Arabidopsis thaliana: one gene and its partners. The protein of the gene in region 3 interacts with the protein of the main gene of each other region in a pairwise test. Each region holds a gene or a part of one and is shown on either strand. Other genes may lie near its edges.

Region 1 (4,533 bases), on a different chromosome or scaffold from region 3:
TTAGATGTAACAAATTTGATTTTTCATTTTTGGTTCGGTTTGTTACCATCATCCAAATGAAATATTTTGGATACATATAGATATATAATCATTTTAGTTTAAACTTGGATTGGACTGAATTAGATAAATATAATCAATATCATCTAGTAGTAATAATGTGATATGTGGGTTAATTTTTCTACTAAACAAACACCACGAGTTGGGTTGATATTATGTATCCTCATTATGGAGTGAGGCTTAAACAGGAAATTATAAGTTGTTTTGTTCTTAAATGAGTGATTATGTATTATGTATGATGATGATGATGAGTAGGCCAATTTAGTGACTGACTACAACGTGTTCCTACAATATATTGGTATATATGCAGTGATCCTACTATTCGAATTTCGTTCTTGGAATGTAACTAATCGTAAACAAAATATCTATAAAAAAAAACAATATTTATATACTTTACCGTAGGGGTAGCTATGTATAACTCGTTTGAGATATTCTCTCGATATGTTACCTAAATCGATTTGATTCCAAACAAAAAATTCTGGCTAATTAACCTGACTAATCATGGATTGGAACAGATATACAATTCATATACAGAGCAGTACTATCGTGTCTTGTCTGGTTAATTATCCGGACCGGACTAAACACCCGTTTAATGTGAACATAACCAAAGCAATCAAGTATCTGAGCTTAATTAATTATTACTGTTGATTAAGTTAATGATTAATTAGGCAAAAAAGTAGATTTGTATGCTGCTCACATGGGTTTGCGTGAAATAATGCTTTTAACCATCTTTTTGTCTCTCCTATACAATTCGAGCTAAAAAGCTAAGTCGTGTCCTTTATTTTATTTTATTTTTCTTTACATTGTTCTTTTGCTGTTATGATTTATGAATGTTGCACGAGATGTTATCTATCTACTATTTTAAAACACAATTGTATATTTTTTTTCGTCAAGGACTTGAAGTTAAAACACAATTGCTTACGAAAATATCAGTAAATTTACTGTTTCAAGAAATGATTATGCCTTCCATTTTACAACAATTATCGTTGTGAAATTCTTAATACATTAAAAAATGTTATAACGCCATTTAGTTTGAAACGTAAATGTGTTAAAGAGATTGAAAAAAAAGAAAGAGTTTACTAATTATAAAATTCAATATAATAACAATTTTTTTGAAATTCAATATAATTAGTATTTTTTTTTTTGAATACCAAGAGGTTTTGGACTGAAACCCGTAATCCCTCCGTACCCGAAACTACAGCATATAATATTACTTTTGTTCTAAACGTCATTCGAACTGGCGATCTCTAAGTTTCGTCTAGGGTTTTTACTAATTGAATTAACAACACTTGGTTATAATTAGTAATTATTTGTCACTAGCTTTCTTCCTCTGTATTTATAATTGATAGCATATTAATCAGTAACCTATATATAAGTAAGTATATTTGAATTTTTGTTTTTAGTAGTAGTTCTATTTTTAATGAAAACATTTTTAAACCTAAATGAAAAAATAATTATCATTTTTGTTCAACTATCCAAATTCACCTTCGTATAATACATGTCGGATTCAATTTCGTGTAATATATGTCGTTTGAAGAATAACGGGTGAGAGTGAGATAGAAGCGACCTGAAAACGAAAGGCAACTCTTTTTATACCTAAAGATTCCTTTTTTCCTAGTCAGTCAAAAGAAGTCAACGGTTAAGTCAGTTGACTTCAGATGACGATTAATGACGTCAGCATCAGTCCTTCCTCTGTTAAATAGAAACCAAACCACTTCGAGTTTCACTCACTCACACACACACACATAAACAAACACACAAAGACACATAAACACCACAATAAACTAAAACCCACCATGTGTGGACACGTCAGCACTTCTATAACCTCCGGCGACAACTGTCCATGTTTTCTATACTCCGACGACATAGTGGCTCCTCCTCAGCTGCTTGATCATCATCATCATCAGTTCCCGCCTCCGCCTTTGGCGCTTCTTATGATGAGCCAAAACTCTCTATACGCGGCCGAGGCGGTTTCAGGGTTCGGTTACTTTGATTCCGGCATGAACGGTGGTGGTGGAAGCAGCAGCTGCGACTCGCCAAGCTCTATGGGGAGTGGCGGAGAGAGTCTTGTTATGCAGAGGAGTGTTAGTAGCCATAATGGCTTTTCCGGTAATTACACAGCGGCCCATGATTTCGTTAACGATGATGATGGGCCAGTGAGACGGGCCCTTAGCGCCGGAGATCTACCCGTAAGTAATATTATATACACACTTGCAGTTTCGAGATTTCAAACGTTAACTTTTATGTTTTCGTTTACGTATGAAATTTTTCACATTTTATAAAACGAAACATTATATTGTTGGTTTGTTTTATGGTTTTGCAAGAGTGTAAAATGAAAACACCAAAACACAAATAAATTATCTAAACATACTAAAATTTGGGGTTTTATTTGAAAATAATAATAATTCTATCATAACATAAGACGACACTGTTTTGGTATGTGTGTAGAGGAGTAGCAGAAGAGAGAGCAGTACGGTGTGGAGTGAGAGCAATGCAATAATAGAAGGAATGAGCAAAGCCTACAAGTATAGTCCTGAGGAGAAGAAAGAAAAGATCGAGAAATATCGTAGCAAACGAAACCTTAGGAATTTCAACAAGAGGATTAAGGTAATTTTATAAATGTTTTACAGTTGTTTCTTTGTTCTAAACTGTTTGTTAGCATAAATTCTTATATCTTATTTTAACATATAAGAATTTATCATTTGATTCATATTGTTCTTCATCACATAGAGTCCATGTACACCTAACCTATATTATATATTCAACATGTGTATATATGTGTCGCATGGAAAACTTTTGAGGACTTGACATGTACAGTAGTTGTATGGAACAGTGACATGCACCTTCACATATATTGATGCAACCATTTTCTAATCAAGCATACAATTTCCTATAAATTTCTTCATTAATCAACTAATAATGATTTCTGTATAATTTCATACACAAGAGCATATATAAATGTCTATTTTCTTAAAATCAAATGTATAAGATATCTTTTCTTAGTAATACTGTTTTTTTTTCACATTTAATACAAAACTAAATGGTTCGTTGACCAAAAAAAAAAAAAAAAACAGGCTCAATGTATCATATCAATCACTCTTATCACTAAAAAGTAACATTGAATTTTTCTTTTCAATCTTATCTTCAAACATAAATAGAATTTCATCTGATATATATGAGTATGTGAACGAGAATTAATGTTCTGTCACATCATATTTGGGTCTAAGGAATCCTTTGAGATAGACACATCAAGCTCCAAGGTTGCTACAAGTTTTTTTCTCCATTAGTTTTTTCTTACAAGAAGGTCCACAAATATATTTCATTGCTAATTAAAGATCGGATTGGAGTATTCATGTACTAACATATTCAAACCGTATCTCAATGAGATATTTCTGCTCGCGTTATAATTTTTTGACCGACAAGTTTTGACTTGTGAATGATCTAAAAACTATCACAATACTTTGGGACAGGTTTAATAATAATCTTTTATCTTTCTATTAGTACGAATGCAGGAAGACATTAGCGGACAGTAGGCCAAGAATAAGAGGGAGATTTGCAAGAAATGATGAGATCTCACAACAAGAACAAGTTGATGTTATGGAAGCCGTGGTAGGAGATGTCGACACGTGGGCATCTTTTCTTGATTCTTTCTCTGCTAATCACTTCCTCAACTAATTTAATCTCTTCTATGTTTGTTTTTCTTATATATGTTTATATATGGCACTTTAATTTGTTTTGGTTTAAAAGATTTCCCCATGTTGCTAAACTCATGTGTAGGTTTTGTGTTATCTTTGTATATAAGAATAACATATCTTGTATTTTTGATCTGAGATATTTGCAAACTAATCCTTTTTCACTGGCCATACAATTCTGCATGAGTGGTATATGCCACTTTGTCAATTGACGATTGCAATTGTCTTAGCATGGCACTGAGTTCTATAAGTGAGATAAATGGGGTTTTAGATAGGTTAAAGGCAAAACAAAACGATATTCACCTATTGAGAACAAAGTGGATTTGAGATAAAACGTCGTCGCCGTATTAGATCCGTCATTTAAATTCGGTAGTCCATAAGTGAGTTGCAAACGATATACATAAAACAATTAAAAATATCGAACTCCAACTAAAACAAATTGATTACACATCGTTAATGTATATGGACCCTTAAATAGTTAATGTATAGTTTAGTATGTTCCTTAATGGTCTGATTTTTCTTTTACCAACTTGATTTACAAAAGTATTTAGAAAGTACAAAGATGATAACTTTTAGCATTGAAAAACATATAATGAACACATGGCCATGTTACTTTGATGATTTCATAATACTCTCACGTTGATTACACATCGTGCTAAGTACTAGCAATCTCCAAAGGTAAACATATATTATATACCTTAAGAATTCTTAAGATATCAAAGAAGCTTCCACTCAAATAAACTAACTTAAAGTAATCAACCCATACATTCATTCTCATAAGTCA
Region 2 (4,727 bases), on a different chromosome or scaffold from region 3:
GATTATAATATATGTACACGCAAAATCAAACATAAAAATAATAGCTTTGTAGTTTTTGAATTCATCAATGGAGAGGGAGACAAGGTCAGTCACAAATGCGTGTTTAAAGGTTAAAAAAAGTAACTTGGAGTTTACTTAGTCAAAACTCAATGAAACCTTATCAATTGCACCAACAGAACATTTAATCATTATCACAAAATGCATCTCAATCTTGAACCAGAATACTAAGATTTTGCGTCTATAAAGTGCGTGTCTTGTCTACATCTCTAACAAGCAAGATAAAGAAACATGCAAAGGAGCTGTTTTTACCTTGTGAGTGAGTTGTCTTCTTCTTCCTCCTCTAAAGGGAATAATGCGGTTCCAGAAAGAATCCTCTTGTGTCTCACTCTTCGCACTCCGAAGCTCTAAACTGCAAGCAAACATCCACTACAGAATTCAGCAATGACAACACAGATTCGAAATTTTGCAATTGTTTTGTACTTCTCCATTAGTGACTTTATCAATGAATGACACAAACCCAAACAACAAAACCAGATTTTGAAAAAGTAACTATTATCTTTTGGGGCACATGAAAAAGGAAAGTAGTCAGAAGTAGTAATCCAAGATGTCACGGTTGAGAGAAACAACAATGTGAAGTTTTCTTCTGAAAGGGAACCCTAAAGAGTGCCGGAATTGGAAACACAACAGTGCTCACCGGAAAACCAAAAGAAAACAAAACGGAAAGATTTGTAAAAGAAAAAGAGAGAGAAATGACAATGTTAATCCCACCCACTTCCTCCTGCTACTGCCTACAAGTTTGGTAGTTGTTTGTTCTTCGTCGTAGTCGTCGTCGTCTTCTTCTTCTTAACTTTTGTCTGAAGGGACCACTCCATTGATTTGGTCCCAAAGATTCTCTCTTTTCTTCTATTCGCCGGTTTCTCAGACTCTCTCTCTCTCGGCTTGGGTAGTTAATGACCGGTTTACCCCTGAAACTTAATTAGGAACCTTAAACCCGCCACGTGGACCTCACACTCCACTTCATCGTAGCCCATTAGTGAGAGACCTTTTCTCCCGGCCCAGAAGGTCATAATGATATTTTGATAACAAATATAATGGATATCTAGCCCAACATTACAAGTAAAGCCCAACATTTAGCAATGATGCACATGGCAGGCAAACTCTCTTCTTTGGATGCTCTGTTTTTTATAAAAACCATAATCTATATTTTCAACAGAAGAGAACATTGTAATTATGCAAATATTGATTCTCGTGTTTATGAATAGGGTGCGTCAAAACTTTTCTTTCAAATTTTACAAATGCCAAAGTGTCATAAAACAAGCTACAAAAGAATGTTTATGGAGGAGAGAAAGAATAAACTTTGGGATGAAAAGAAAAAAAAACTAAGATAATTGTGAAGATGTTAGTTAAATGAAATTGAGAAGATGGGCAAGGAAATAAAAACAACATTAAACCAAGGCCACTAGTAGAGTTTTGAGAGTTGCTTTCAACTACTTCTCGACCACCAATTTTTTAAATGGCTGGTGACATTTGGCCCACCCACCTCTTTGTCTTTTTTTTTAATTCCTTTTGTGGCTCTTATTTTTTCCCCCTTTTTTATTTATTTTAGTTTATATTTTTACTTTTAAAAATAGTCACACGTCCTAAATCTTAGCACATTATGTTGCCTAAAACTATTTCAGCTGCCGTCAAAAAAAGGAAGAAAAAAAATCAGATATAGGATCCAAGAAATCATATAAAGATTGTGACAAAAAAAACTTTTTCACCAAAACAAAGGAAACAAGACAACGAATGTGTTTCAGGGAGACACATCAATGACCTCCCAGATGGCATTGAGTCTTTCGTCTTCACTTTTTAGTCGATATCATTTTTCTTTTTGTCTGATAATGGTCTCTGATATAATGGACTTTAAACAATCTTATAACTCAAAACCATATCCACTATAAAAGATTTGGTCTTCCCAATATTTTCTCCTAAATCATACTACACACATTTCTTGTTAGGTACTACTTTAATCATAATTTTCGTTAGTCAAAACACACAATTAAAGAAAAAAAGTAATTGATTGGAGAAATTTACTCAAAGTAGTAATTAACAGATTTTGCCTTGTCACAGCAAAGTATGCTTATTTGATACTCTCGGCGCGTGGATTTGGTCGTCGTCTCTTCTGGTCTCTCAAGCTTCTCCTCCATCGTAGAAAAAGATTTTAAAGGAGCGATTTTTATAATCTTAAATAATTTCTTCCCTTTCTTCTTCTTCTTCTAGTTCCTTGATACCAACGCGTAATCCTAACCCTTAATCTACTTCCTCCTTAATTAATCAGAGGTTTCTACTTATTATTTCCACTTCTCATCTCTTTCAATCGCAATCTGAGTTCTGGCTAAAGATTTTGTCTTGAAGGTGAGATTCATTGTTCCGAATAGAGTGAGAAAAAGACTTATAAGATTGAAAAAGCAAGATGCGGATTTTGTGCGATGCTTGCGAGAACGCAGCCGCAATCATCTTTTGCGCCGCCGATGAAGCTGCCCTTTGTCGCCCCTGCGATGAAAAAGTAACTTCTCTCCCAAAAAAGCTTCCTTTTTTTCTTTAACTCTCCTCTCTATCTATTGGTTGTGCTCTGATGGGTTCGTCAAAGATCAAGTCTTTGTTATCTCTGTCTGGGAATTCTCAGTTGATTTGGACCTGAGTTGATCTGGCTTTTCGATAACTTTGAGCTAAAGAAATAAGATTTTTGAGATTTGGTTTCTAGATTCTTAGGCTCTTCACATGAGATTAGATATTTCGAAGTGTAGTGAATCCGTCAAAAGAGTTCAAATAGTTGAAACCTCTTCTCTCATTTGGTGGATTAAGATGGTTCAGTTGATGAATTTACATGTTTGATTACATGAGTGTTTGTTGCTGCGGTTTCAATGATTCTACTCTGTCATGTACATTGCAGGGAACGTTTTGTCTCCAGAGTTTGCATTTAGTAGTATTAACTTCTGGAGAAGAAAATAATCGATTTTCTGCTCTTTGCGCTTAATCCTTACTTCAGTTAGATGACTCTTAAGGGTAACACTTTATAGTCCTTCTCGAGTCATTGGTTCATCCTTCTCTACTGCAATAGCTCTTAGTAGTTTTCGGATTTTGATCGGAAATGGATTACTTCAAAGCTTTGTAATGTTTTCTTCTTTCAGGTTCATATGTGCAACAAGCTAGCTAGTCGGCATGTACGTGTTGGTTTAGCTGAACCAAGCAATGCCCCATGCTGTGATATATGCGAAAATGCACCTGGTATGATCTCTTTACAATGAACTTCCCACACTCGTGTTTAATGTTTTCGCATATGTACATATATTGAAAAATGAAGAGAAATCTTTTGTCTGCAATGTTTTTTGTTGTGAGAACAGCCTTCTTTTACTGTGAGATAGACGGTAGTTCTCTTTGTCTGCAATGTGACATGGTAGTACATGTTGGTGGCAAGAGAACACACGGTCGGTTTCTTTTGCTGAGACAGAGAATCGAGGTTTGAATTAACTAATTGTTTCTTTCTCACGCAGACACACAATCATTTTGAGTCGATTTCTTAGTTTTAATAGTCATCTTGTGTTTATCGTTTCTTGTAGTTTCCAGGGGATAAGCCTAAAGAAAACAATACGAGGGACAATTTGCAGAACCAAAGAGTCTCTACAAATGGAAATGGTGAAGCCAATGGGAAGATTGATGACGAAATGATTGATCTAAATGCTAATCCACAAAGAGTACATGAGCCATCATCAAATAACAACGTATATGAATCCCTCTATCCAACATATTCTCAATCTTTGTTTTTGTATTCTCAATTCGAATGTTTCTCAATGAGCAGGGGATTGATGTAAATAACGAGAACAATCACGAGCCTGCAGGCCTTGTACCAGTTGGACCCTTTAAACGAGAGTCTGAGAAGTGATAAGGTGAGAGAGAGAGAGAGAAAGAGACTCTTTACTCTGATTCAAAAAATCAGTTTAAGAAGAAGATTGTAAAAAGTTTCAAGAACTGGAGATTTCATGTCCGTTTTTTTTCCTTCCTTCTGATTCTTAGATCGTTGCTGGTGTAACCGAGCTTTGTTGTTGAAGAGGGAAGGTTTATGTTGTTTGTGCATTATCTTAGTTTTAAGGAATTAGCTTAAGTGCTCACATGAATGTAAGCTAATCTCTGAAATTCTAAATAATTTTATTTGTTTCTGTTTTTTTTTCTTAATAAAATCCTCTGGGAAATGGACGAAAAAGAAAGAAGACGAAAAATTGGGCCAATTAAAAGATTAAGCCCACTTAATATGCAAAGGCCCCATGAGGCTAAGCGTTGTCCTTTGAGAATTGTAAGCTTCGTGGAGACCATTTCCTCCTGTATCCTCTTTGTTCAAAATTTAAAATTGGTTGATTATGGAATAGTTGTAGTTTCAAGTTTAAATAGATCAAGAGAGATAGATAACTTCAATATAATAGAACTTATTAAAAGGAGTAGCTAACGCAAAGTAAGCAGAGAAAATAATGATTTGACATGATTAATAACAAGCAAACTCAAAAACAAATGTGATTAAAACATCTGCTTCATCTCTTTTTTCACAGCATCATCTCTTCAATAGGTGTACCCTTTGACGAACATGCCCTCCTTAGCCTCTTCGGACTCACCCTCACCGGTGTATTTTCCGAGCTGAGCCAACGAATTGGCCTTGGCACGGGCCAAGAGAGTGGTCTGAGCTGCGTTCACGT
Region 3 (4,242 bases):
TAGTAGTCCATGAATCTGATTGTAGAGATGATCCCAAATTGGTCACTAATTGATGTGAGTGCAATGATGCTATACATACTACTGTACATATATACTAGATATTACCCACTGCTGTAACCAGCAAGCTCATTAATTATCCCCATGATTCAATAGTCATCCTTGCTTTGCCTTTTTGCTTTCTGATTAACCAATTTGTTGATAGACCTAACCGGTTTAGTGTAATCAGGATCCGGTTTGCTTTATTTGAAGAAATCTTATTTGAAGAAATTCTTTTTAGTTGTGAAAGATTGTATTTGACTTCCTTCCCAACTAACTCTGCCTATTTTCCTACTAATCTCCACCAGTAATTAAGTTTGGCTTTGTTCCTACACACGTGCAAATGACTAATGAGTTCTAAAACAGTTTGGTTATAGCTTACCTAGGATTGAATTGATTAGTTGATTGGATTATAAGCTATATATCCAATCAATCCTTATAAATATTCAATAAACTGTTTTGCAAGCAATCTCAAGGAAAATTTGAACTTTGAAGTACAATACATCACTTTTCAGGTTTTCAACTTATTCCTATCATTTTATTTATATTTCATATATTTATTTTTAATGTTCTTAAGTATTTAGGCTATGTTATTATATCTTATCTGAATGTTAAAAATAGAAGTCGGTAACCATGAAATAGAAGTCGGTAACCAATGCTACATTTCATGTTTTTTTTTTCAATTTAAATTTGTTAGAGAACTGAGAGTACAAATTAAAAGCCAACCGTCGTAGACAAGACAAGAGAGAAAGTTGGTGATGTGCTTGAAGACCAAATATATGTTTGAGCAAATAAGATGTCAAATTCATTTTTATAAAGTACAAAGCCACTGATATATCAGTCAGTTAACCTATTAATTAATTAAGACACAGAGTCGTTTTAGGGTTTCCACGTTGGTCCGATTTAAGGAAAATAAAACATTTGGTTAGGTCTGAAAGGTTTAACAAAACATATCCAACGATATTTAATTACTTTATTCTACTTATACGTGACCTGCAATTAAATCATAGGTCCCCAACATCTTTACCAAACTCTCTCCTTCCCCTCCAGTATTTTTCTCTTAACAATGTATTGATATTTTCGAAGTTATAAAACCATTTTAAAACTTGTAACAATTGTCCATTAGTTATACCAAAAGGCAATACGGTTGAAATTTAGTCATCGAGTTCGATCCACAAATCCTGAAATAATAACCGTTACATTCCCCCTTAATTCTGGACGTACGAGTTCGCCTTAGTTATTTTTTATTGTTGATTTAATTTGCGGTTATGTAAAATTTCATAAATTTGGAAAATATTGTCCACATGTAATATACATAGCTAGACTTTTGAGATTTTCATTGCTTGTAACATTGTTGTTTTATGTAGTTAAACACTAACAAATGTAAGTTTTATTTATTTCTTTCAAAGTAACACTAATACAACATCATAACAGGTAAATGCAACTATAGATTTTGCAATCTAAATGTTCGTTCTTTGAACCATATATTGTAGTTAACTAATTATAGCGTTCTCCCACCTTGATTCATATTCTAGAAGTTGTCCATATATAAAAAGCTGACCATAATAATTAATATACATGTGTACATGTAGCTTGTAAAAGGTTATACGAACGTAGATGAAGTATTGGTGGCTGAAGTAGAGGGTTTAGGTTGGAAAAAAATATATTTAAGGGTAGACGTTGAAAGTTTAACGAAAACACCCCACCAAGCAATCTCTTCCCTCCTGTGTAATCTCCTTTTTTCTTTTCATTACTCATCAATTACTCAATTATTAAAACTCTCACATAAACCAAAATAATGTATATAAAAATTACGAAATAAATGGAAAAATAAAAAAGGGTAGATTACTTAAAAGGAGTGTGTTTGGTTAGGGAAGACGTTGGCATCAATCGCCGGTGAAAACCTCTCTCCAAACTTTCCCTCACTCTCTAACGAATCTTATTATATTCATTACTTTCAATTCTTTATATAATATCTAAATAAATATACTTATATAAATACATGTATGTATGGTGCTGTTGCTCTTCAGCTTTCTTCTTGTTCCTACATACCCATCTTCCCTCACCTACATCAAACCTAGGGTTTCTTAACTATATCAACAACATATATAAATTTATATATAGGTTGTGATTTATTGAAGATCATAAAGATCAAAAGGAGAGAGGTATTAAAAAATGATGTGTAGTCGAGGCCATTGGAGACCTGCAGAAGACGAGAAGCTAAGAGAACTCGTCGAACAATTTGGTCCTCATAATTGGAACGCCATAGCTCAGAAGCTCTCTGGTCGATCTGGTAAAACTGACTTTATATTAAAGTCATTTCTTTAATTTCTTACAAAGCATATATAAACTAGGGTTTAATATATTTATATAAAAATATATATGTTGGTTTGATTGGATCTTTTGGTTTCAGGTAAGAGTTGTAGATTGAGATGGTTTAATCAATTGGATCCTAGGATTAACCGAAACCCTTTCACGGAGGAAGAAGAAGAAAGGCTTTTAGCGTCTCATCGGATCCATGGGAACAGATGGTCTGTGATCGCTAGATTTTTTCCCGGTCGAACTGATAACGCTGTTAAAAACCATTGGCACGTCATCATGGCTCGTCGTGGCCGAGAACGGTCCAAGCTCCGTCCACGAGGCCTTGGCCATGATGGCACGGTGGCTGCGACTGGGATGATTGGTAATTATAAAGACTGCGATAAGGAGAGAAGATTGGCAACCACAACCGCTATCAATTTTCCTTATCAATTCTCTCATATTAATCATTTTCAAGTCCTCAAAGAGTTCTTGACCGGAAAGATCGGGTTCAGAAATAGTACTACTCCAATACAAGAAGGTAATTAGATAATATGGCTTGAATTTCTGTGTTTATGTAGCTAATATAGCTGCACAAAGATAAAACATGTGTAGCCATACGTATATTGTATTTTGTGTGAATACATATAGGCATATATAAATTACGAACTCATAGAAAACATGTACATTCGTCATATTAATGTGCAAGTAAATGAGTAATGGTGCATTAATTCGTATACAACTTGATTTAAAAAAAAAAACGATTTTTGTATAGATTATATGGGTTAAAATTCATTGTTTTCTGTAAACTCTAAATTAATTTTTGATCAATTTTTTTTGTAAAGATAGTATGAAACGATCATGATTTTCATAGTTACATGCATGCATATGGATGTACACTTGCATGTGGGTACGATTACATACTTGTGTAACTTCCAAAACTAACTTTTGGACATGGATTAATTTGTCAGGAGCAATAGACCAAACTAAACGACCGATGGAGTTCTACAATTTTCTTCAAGTAAACACGGATTCGAAGATACACGAATTGATAGATAATTCAAGAAAAGACGAAGAAGAAGATGTCGATCAAAACAACCGAATTCCTAACGAGAATTGTGTTCCATTTTTCGACTTTTTGTCTGTTGGAAACTCTGCCTCTCAGGGTTTATGTTAATTTGTCCGTACCACATGTACTATAAGGTGGACCATATGTTAATTAAAGATAATGTAGAAAGTACTAATCAATTAGAGCTCTTGTTTGAGCCAAATGTGAAAATTAGTTAAGCCATCCCAAACATGTTCTTGTATAACAAATATAAGGTTGTACTTTTCCACCTTTATCAGGTCTAATTTTCTATTTTTATTTTAAGGATGTTTAATCAGACTCATCACCATTCGGTATTTTTTTTTCTTCATATTTACAGAAATTCAATCAGACCAATCGATAAAAAGGATTGAGCAGAAGTTAATTTATTTTAAAACATTATTAAGTTTAAAGGTTTGTCATGAAACCAATCTTAAACTGAAATTCTGAAGTAAAACCAAAAATTTATTCCAAACTGGCCTAGTTTCACTTTATACTCATTTTGGCTATGGACTATGGTATATATTGTCTAAATTACAAGATGCGTATGTACTGAGAAAATTCTGTGTCCTGAATCCGGATTAATCTATAAATTATCGTAATAGAAGGACTTGAGAGTTGAGACCAAGATTTTATATTTTGTGGAATTTAATTTGCAATCGTCGGATATAATTTTTGTGTTGTTGCGTTCTTAAGGAAGATCAAATATTATAAGGTTTGATTATTAACCGAAGAAAATATGTCATTGGTGCCTAAATATATGTACCACCAAATGAACATCCTTTTAATACAGTACTACTTAATTATAATTTCATGCAGAC
Region 4 (4,335 bases), 5.2 Mb from region 3:
AATCCCTACAGATTTCTTCTTCCTCTCTTTTAGAACTTTATCACAACCACGTGATTAACCTTATCAGAAACTGAGAAAAGTATGTAAGATCTCTTTCTGAATCGAGAAGAAGAAAGAAAACAAATTACAAGTTGTGTTATGTGTATATTACATCTAGATAGTTATTTTTGAGAACTATGAAGATATTAATGTATTTGTAACTATTATAGAAATTTGTGGTACATGTTTTTGCATTTTTCAGTAAACATATATATATTTATTGTTTACTATTTGTATATATAAGTAATCATATCACTAAATACAAAATGAGAAGCTTTGGATTGTGTGGAACCATAATTTAAGTAAGGACATAACCAAAAATTAGATACAAAATGAGATACCAGTCCCAAAACATTGAACTTGCCAAAACCGAAACATAATGTCATGTAACAAAACCAGTGTTCTATTTGCCGTCGAAACAATATTAGTTAATTTCTCGTTTATACTTTAAATGTAAATTACCGCTTTCATCTGTATATCTGTTTTTGTCGTGGTTCTTCTATCCGATTCCAAATGAAAACACACAATTTCGGAACTTAATTTTATTCTTCAAAATTTTGGCATAAAAGTTAGAAATTGGTATTTTAAATAATTAATTTATGGAGTTGAAGACTTGTGAAGGTAGAAACCAAAAATGTATTTGCTTCCATCAGAGCCACGCAACAATGGAAAAAGTGACACTTGTACATACACATGCACCCGATTTTTAGATACATTAATAGATAGACTGAAAATTATAAAAGTAATTAAATATCATTTGTTTCCGCTGATAAATGGCGTACAAAATAAAAAAACGTATTTTTTTTATACGTGTTTTGTATTTAATCTCGTGCATATCCTTTCTGTGTTGTAAAGTCTTCTTAGATTCGTTGTATACAAGATCTTCTATAAGTTCGTGTATAATTTATTCAGACAAATTATGCGATTGTATTATTGTATCAAGAAATTAATTAAACTAGGTCTTTTATAAATAGGTTGTACGAGTTCTTTTTATTATAGTCATTAATATTTCTTAATTTTAAGTTAAAATTAATTAAAGTGTTCTACAGTTTAGTTGTGGTTAAATTATTTATATGGAAGATCTTTACATAATTAAAGTGTTCTACAGTTTAAGTTTGAAGAACGTCTTTCTTTACATATAAACTTTTCGAAGTTGTGAAACTATGTTCTTAGGAAAACAAGCTAAGAATATTATATTTGAATTTCGTTATATTTGTTATTTCGTCGCTTTTATGATCTTGAAACGTGATTGAACCTATAGTCCGAGGGGATGAACCAAATTTAATGTTTCTAAATCTACCAGTTAATTGTTTTCTTACCAATTTACTCATTTAATTTAGATGATATATTGATCGATTTTCTGTCATACTGATACTTATTCGGTTATGTACTACGTTATTTTACATAGCAGTTACGTATCCAAGAGAGTAAAAATTAATGATTTTAAGTTTTTGTTAAAATATTTTCTTCTAAGAGATAAAATTAAGTAAAAGAAGAAAAATATGAACACTTAACTTAAAATCCAAAAATACAAATTAATATATGAAAAAATAAGTAAAACTGCTTTAAATAATAATCCTAAGTAAGGAAAAATAATACTTCAAATGCTGATCGCTTTAACAAACAAGAATACTTATCAAACAGTAACATAATCATATATATGGGGTGGTTACTTATTTTTGGTATCAAAGTCACAAAGTACTTGCCTACTTGGTAACAAACTAGAAGACAAATTCATACATTATAATTAATTTGTTATAAAGTTAGTTGTTTTATCCTTATACTTTCAAGTATAATTCTAACAAAAAAACAAATTAGAAAGTAAATGGATGTTGATAAGGGAGAGAGAAAGAGAGGATGATGCTGATGAAAACATAGGCACATGTGTTAGGTCTGAAGCAAGGAGAGAAAGGCAGCTCCTGCTTCTTTTGCATGAAACCTCTCTAAAACTCTTCTCTTATCTCGCCACGAACCCTCTCCCCATACCCTTCACACGACTCCTTCCACTTTTTAATCTCTTGTCTTCTTATTACATCTCATCAAAATTCTATTTAATGATAATAATCCAAAGCTAACAATATTTAAATATACGTTTTAACTTATTCTCATGTCTATATCTATACTCAATCCACATATATATAAACCACAATATCCCATCTTTCATCTTACACAAATCCCTCAAAACCAAAACACATCACAAACAAAAAAAACAAGTTAGATATTATATCATCATGGATGTCGTTTGTACGGAACATCAAATGAGGAAGCCAACGGTGGAGATTCCTCCGAGAAAGCTTCTTTTATCTTCCAAGAGTTTTCCTTCTGATTCTTCTTCCCCTCGCTCGCCGCGTAAACATAACTGGAACAAAAGCAACAAGATTACATCTGAACATGAAGAAGACAACGAAGACAACAACAGAGAGAATAAAGAGTACTGTTATGATTCTGACTCTGATGATCCTTACGCAAGTGATCATTTCCGGATGTTCGAATTCAAGATCCGTCGTTGCACTCGTAGCCGAAGCCACGATTGGACTGATTGTCCTTTTGCTCATCCCGGTGAGAAAGCTCGCCGTCGTGACCCTCGTCGCTTTCAATACTCCGGTGAGGTTTGTCCCGAGTTTCGTCGTGGTGGTGATTGTAGCCGTGGAGATGATTGTGAGTTTGCTCATGGAGTCTTCGAGTGTTGGCTCCATCCTATTCGTTACCGTACTGAAGCTTGTAAAGACGGTAAACACTGTAAAAGGAAAGTCTGTTTCTTTGCTCATTCGCCACGTCAGCTTAGGGTTCTTCCTCCGGAGAACGTTTCCGGTGTCTCAGCGTCGCCTTCTCCTGCGGCGAAGAATCCATGTTGCTTGTTTTGTAGCAGCTCTCCCACGAGCACTCTTTTGGGTAATTTGTCTCATCTTTCTCGATCTCCGTCTCTGTCTCCACCTATGTCTCCGGCTAATAAAGCCGCTGCTTTTTCACGGTTGAGGAACCGCGCCGCTTCTGCCGTTTCCGCCGCTGCAGCCGCTGGTTCAATGAACTATAAAGACGTTTTGAGCGAGCTTGTGAATTCTTTGGATTCCATGAGCTTAGCGGAAGCGCTGCAGGCGAGTTCCTCGTCGCCCGTTACAACTCCGGTTTCCGCTGCGGCTGCCGCGTTTGCGTCGTCCTGCGGTCTGAGCAATCAGCGTCTCCATCTCCAGCAACAACAACCAAGTAGCCCTTTGCAATTTGCTCTTTCGCCTTCCACTCCAAGTTACCTAACTAACTCACCTCAGGCGAACTTCTTCAGTGATGATTTCACTCCTCGCCGGAGACAGATGAACGATTTCACGGCGATGACGGCCGTTAGGGAGAATACTAACATTGAGGATGGTTCTTGTGGTGACCCTGATCTAGGATGGGTCAATGATCTCTTGACTTGAGGGATTGACGGTGGAGATTCGCCGGGAGGAGATCTGACTTGAGAATGTAAATTTCGGTGGAAGAATTTTAATCACATTCATGAATCATGGGAGAATAATCGGTTCGTAACGGTTTGGTCAATGCATGGAGAGATTGTTTGTTCAAATTTATTTTGAAGATTTTTTTTTTTAGCTAATTCAGAAGTGTCTTGTGTATTGTCGTTTATTTTTTAGAATTTTCTTTTTCTGATGGGATTTTTACCAAATAATATGTTGAACTTGTAATATCTTGTGGACTCGGATTGTGCAATGTTTCACCAATTCTATAGATATTTTTCCCTTTTCATGTATACTTTGTTAAATCTTTAATAGATCAATTTGAACATTACAACCTCACAATTGAATATTGATATGTATATTGATCTTCTTTTTTGTTTTCGTCTTCGTCTGTTTTCATCATTGTGATATGTATATTGATTAACTGATGGTTTTTGTTTTATAGTTAATTTGTATTAAGCTTTTAAACGTATAAAATATCACTGGACGATTGATCACATTGCGTTTTCGGTTTACGCTATTAAGTTTTATAAATGATATTAAGATATGCGTTTCTTGAAAATAAATGTTTCATCTCATCGTATACCCTGAAACGTGTTATGTTTATGATTTAATTTTATGAATGTACCTATGCACAATTCTCGAATTATTCATCCCCCTCACCCTGAAATGTGTTATGTTTTGGTTATGCTGGTGCCTGGTAGACGAGAATACAGTTGTGTTAGTACCGTCTCCCTAAAGTTATATGTCACATCCTTTTTTGTATATAAAAAGGTGCGACAAGTTCTCCAATTGTTCTTCTTTGGACACCACACGAAAGCTAGTAGCTTTCATATGAGGCATGTGT

What was found.
Region 1: the proteins of MYB52 (region 3) and AT5G59990 interact in a two-hybrid assay, tested with the Arabidopsis thaliana proteins (one large-scale study listed by BioGRID).
Region 2: the proteins of MYB52 (region 3) and BBX19 interact in a two-hybrid assay, tested with the Arabidopsis thaliana proteins (one large-scale study listed by BioGRID).
Region 4: the proteins of MYB52 (region 3) and SOM interact in a two-hybrid assay, tested with the Arabidopsis thaliana proteins (one large-scale study listed by BioGRID).

What each region holds. Positions count from the first base shown.
Region 1 is NC_003076.8:24,150,405-24,154,937, reverse strand, and holds AT5G59990 (CCT motif family protein), read left to right. Parts: upstream 1-1,736; 5' UTR 1,737-1,853; coding exon 1,854-2,246; intron 2,247-2,505; coding exon 2,506-2,664; coding exon of another isoform or gene 2,665-2,676; exon of another isoform or gene 2,677-3,087; intron 3,088-3,558; coding exon 3,559-3,732; 3' UTR 3,733-4,004; downstream 4,005-4,533.
Region 2 is NC_003075.7:18,159,121-18,163,847, forward strand, and holds BBX19 (B-box type zinc finger family protein), read left to right. Parts: upstream 1-1,967; 5' UTR 1,968-2,455; coding exon 2,456-2,548; intron 2,549-2,754; coding exon 2,755-2,850; intron 2,851-2,935; coding exon 2,936-2,968; exon of another isoform or gene 2,969-3,048; intron 3,049-3,173; coding exon 3,174-3,270; intron 3,271-3,386; coding exon 3,387-3,502; intron 3,503-3,602; coding exon 3,603-3,764; coding exon of another isoform or gene 3,765-3,841; coding exon 3,842-3,925; 3' UTR 3,926-4,201; downstream 4,202-4,727. Other genes in the region: FBA2 (fructose-bisphosphate aldolase 2), read right to left, coding at 4,594-4,727.
Region 3 is NC_003070.9:6,175,553-6,179,794, forward strand, and holds MYB52 (myb domain protein 52), read left to right. Parts: upstream 1-1,928; 5' UTR 1,929-2,211; coding exon 2,212-2,329; intron 2,330-2,449; coding exon 2,450-2,875; intron 2,876-3,305; coding exon 3,306-3,511; 3' UTR 3,512-3,737; downstream 3,738-4,242. UniProt on the Arabidopsis thaliana protein: Transcription factor that confers sensitivity to abscisic acid (ABA) and salt, but tolerance to drought. Regulates secondary cell wall (SCW) biosynthesis, especially in interfascicular and xylary fibers.
Region 4 is NC_003070.9:952,319-956,653, forward strand, and holds SOM (Zinc finger C-x8-C-x5-C-x3-H type family protein), read left to right. Parts: upstream 1-1,971; 5' UTR 1,972-2,270; coding exon 2,271-3,452; 3' UTR 3,453-3,826; downstream 3,827-4,335. UniProt on the Arabidopsis thaliana protein: Probable transcription repressor that functions as a negative regulator of phytochrome-mediated promotion of seed germination. Inhibits seed germination by regulating the expression of gibberellic acid (GA) and abscisic acid (ABA) metabolic genes.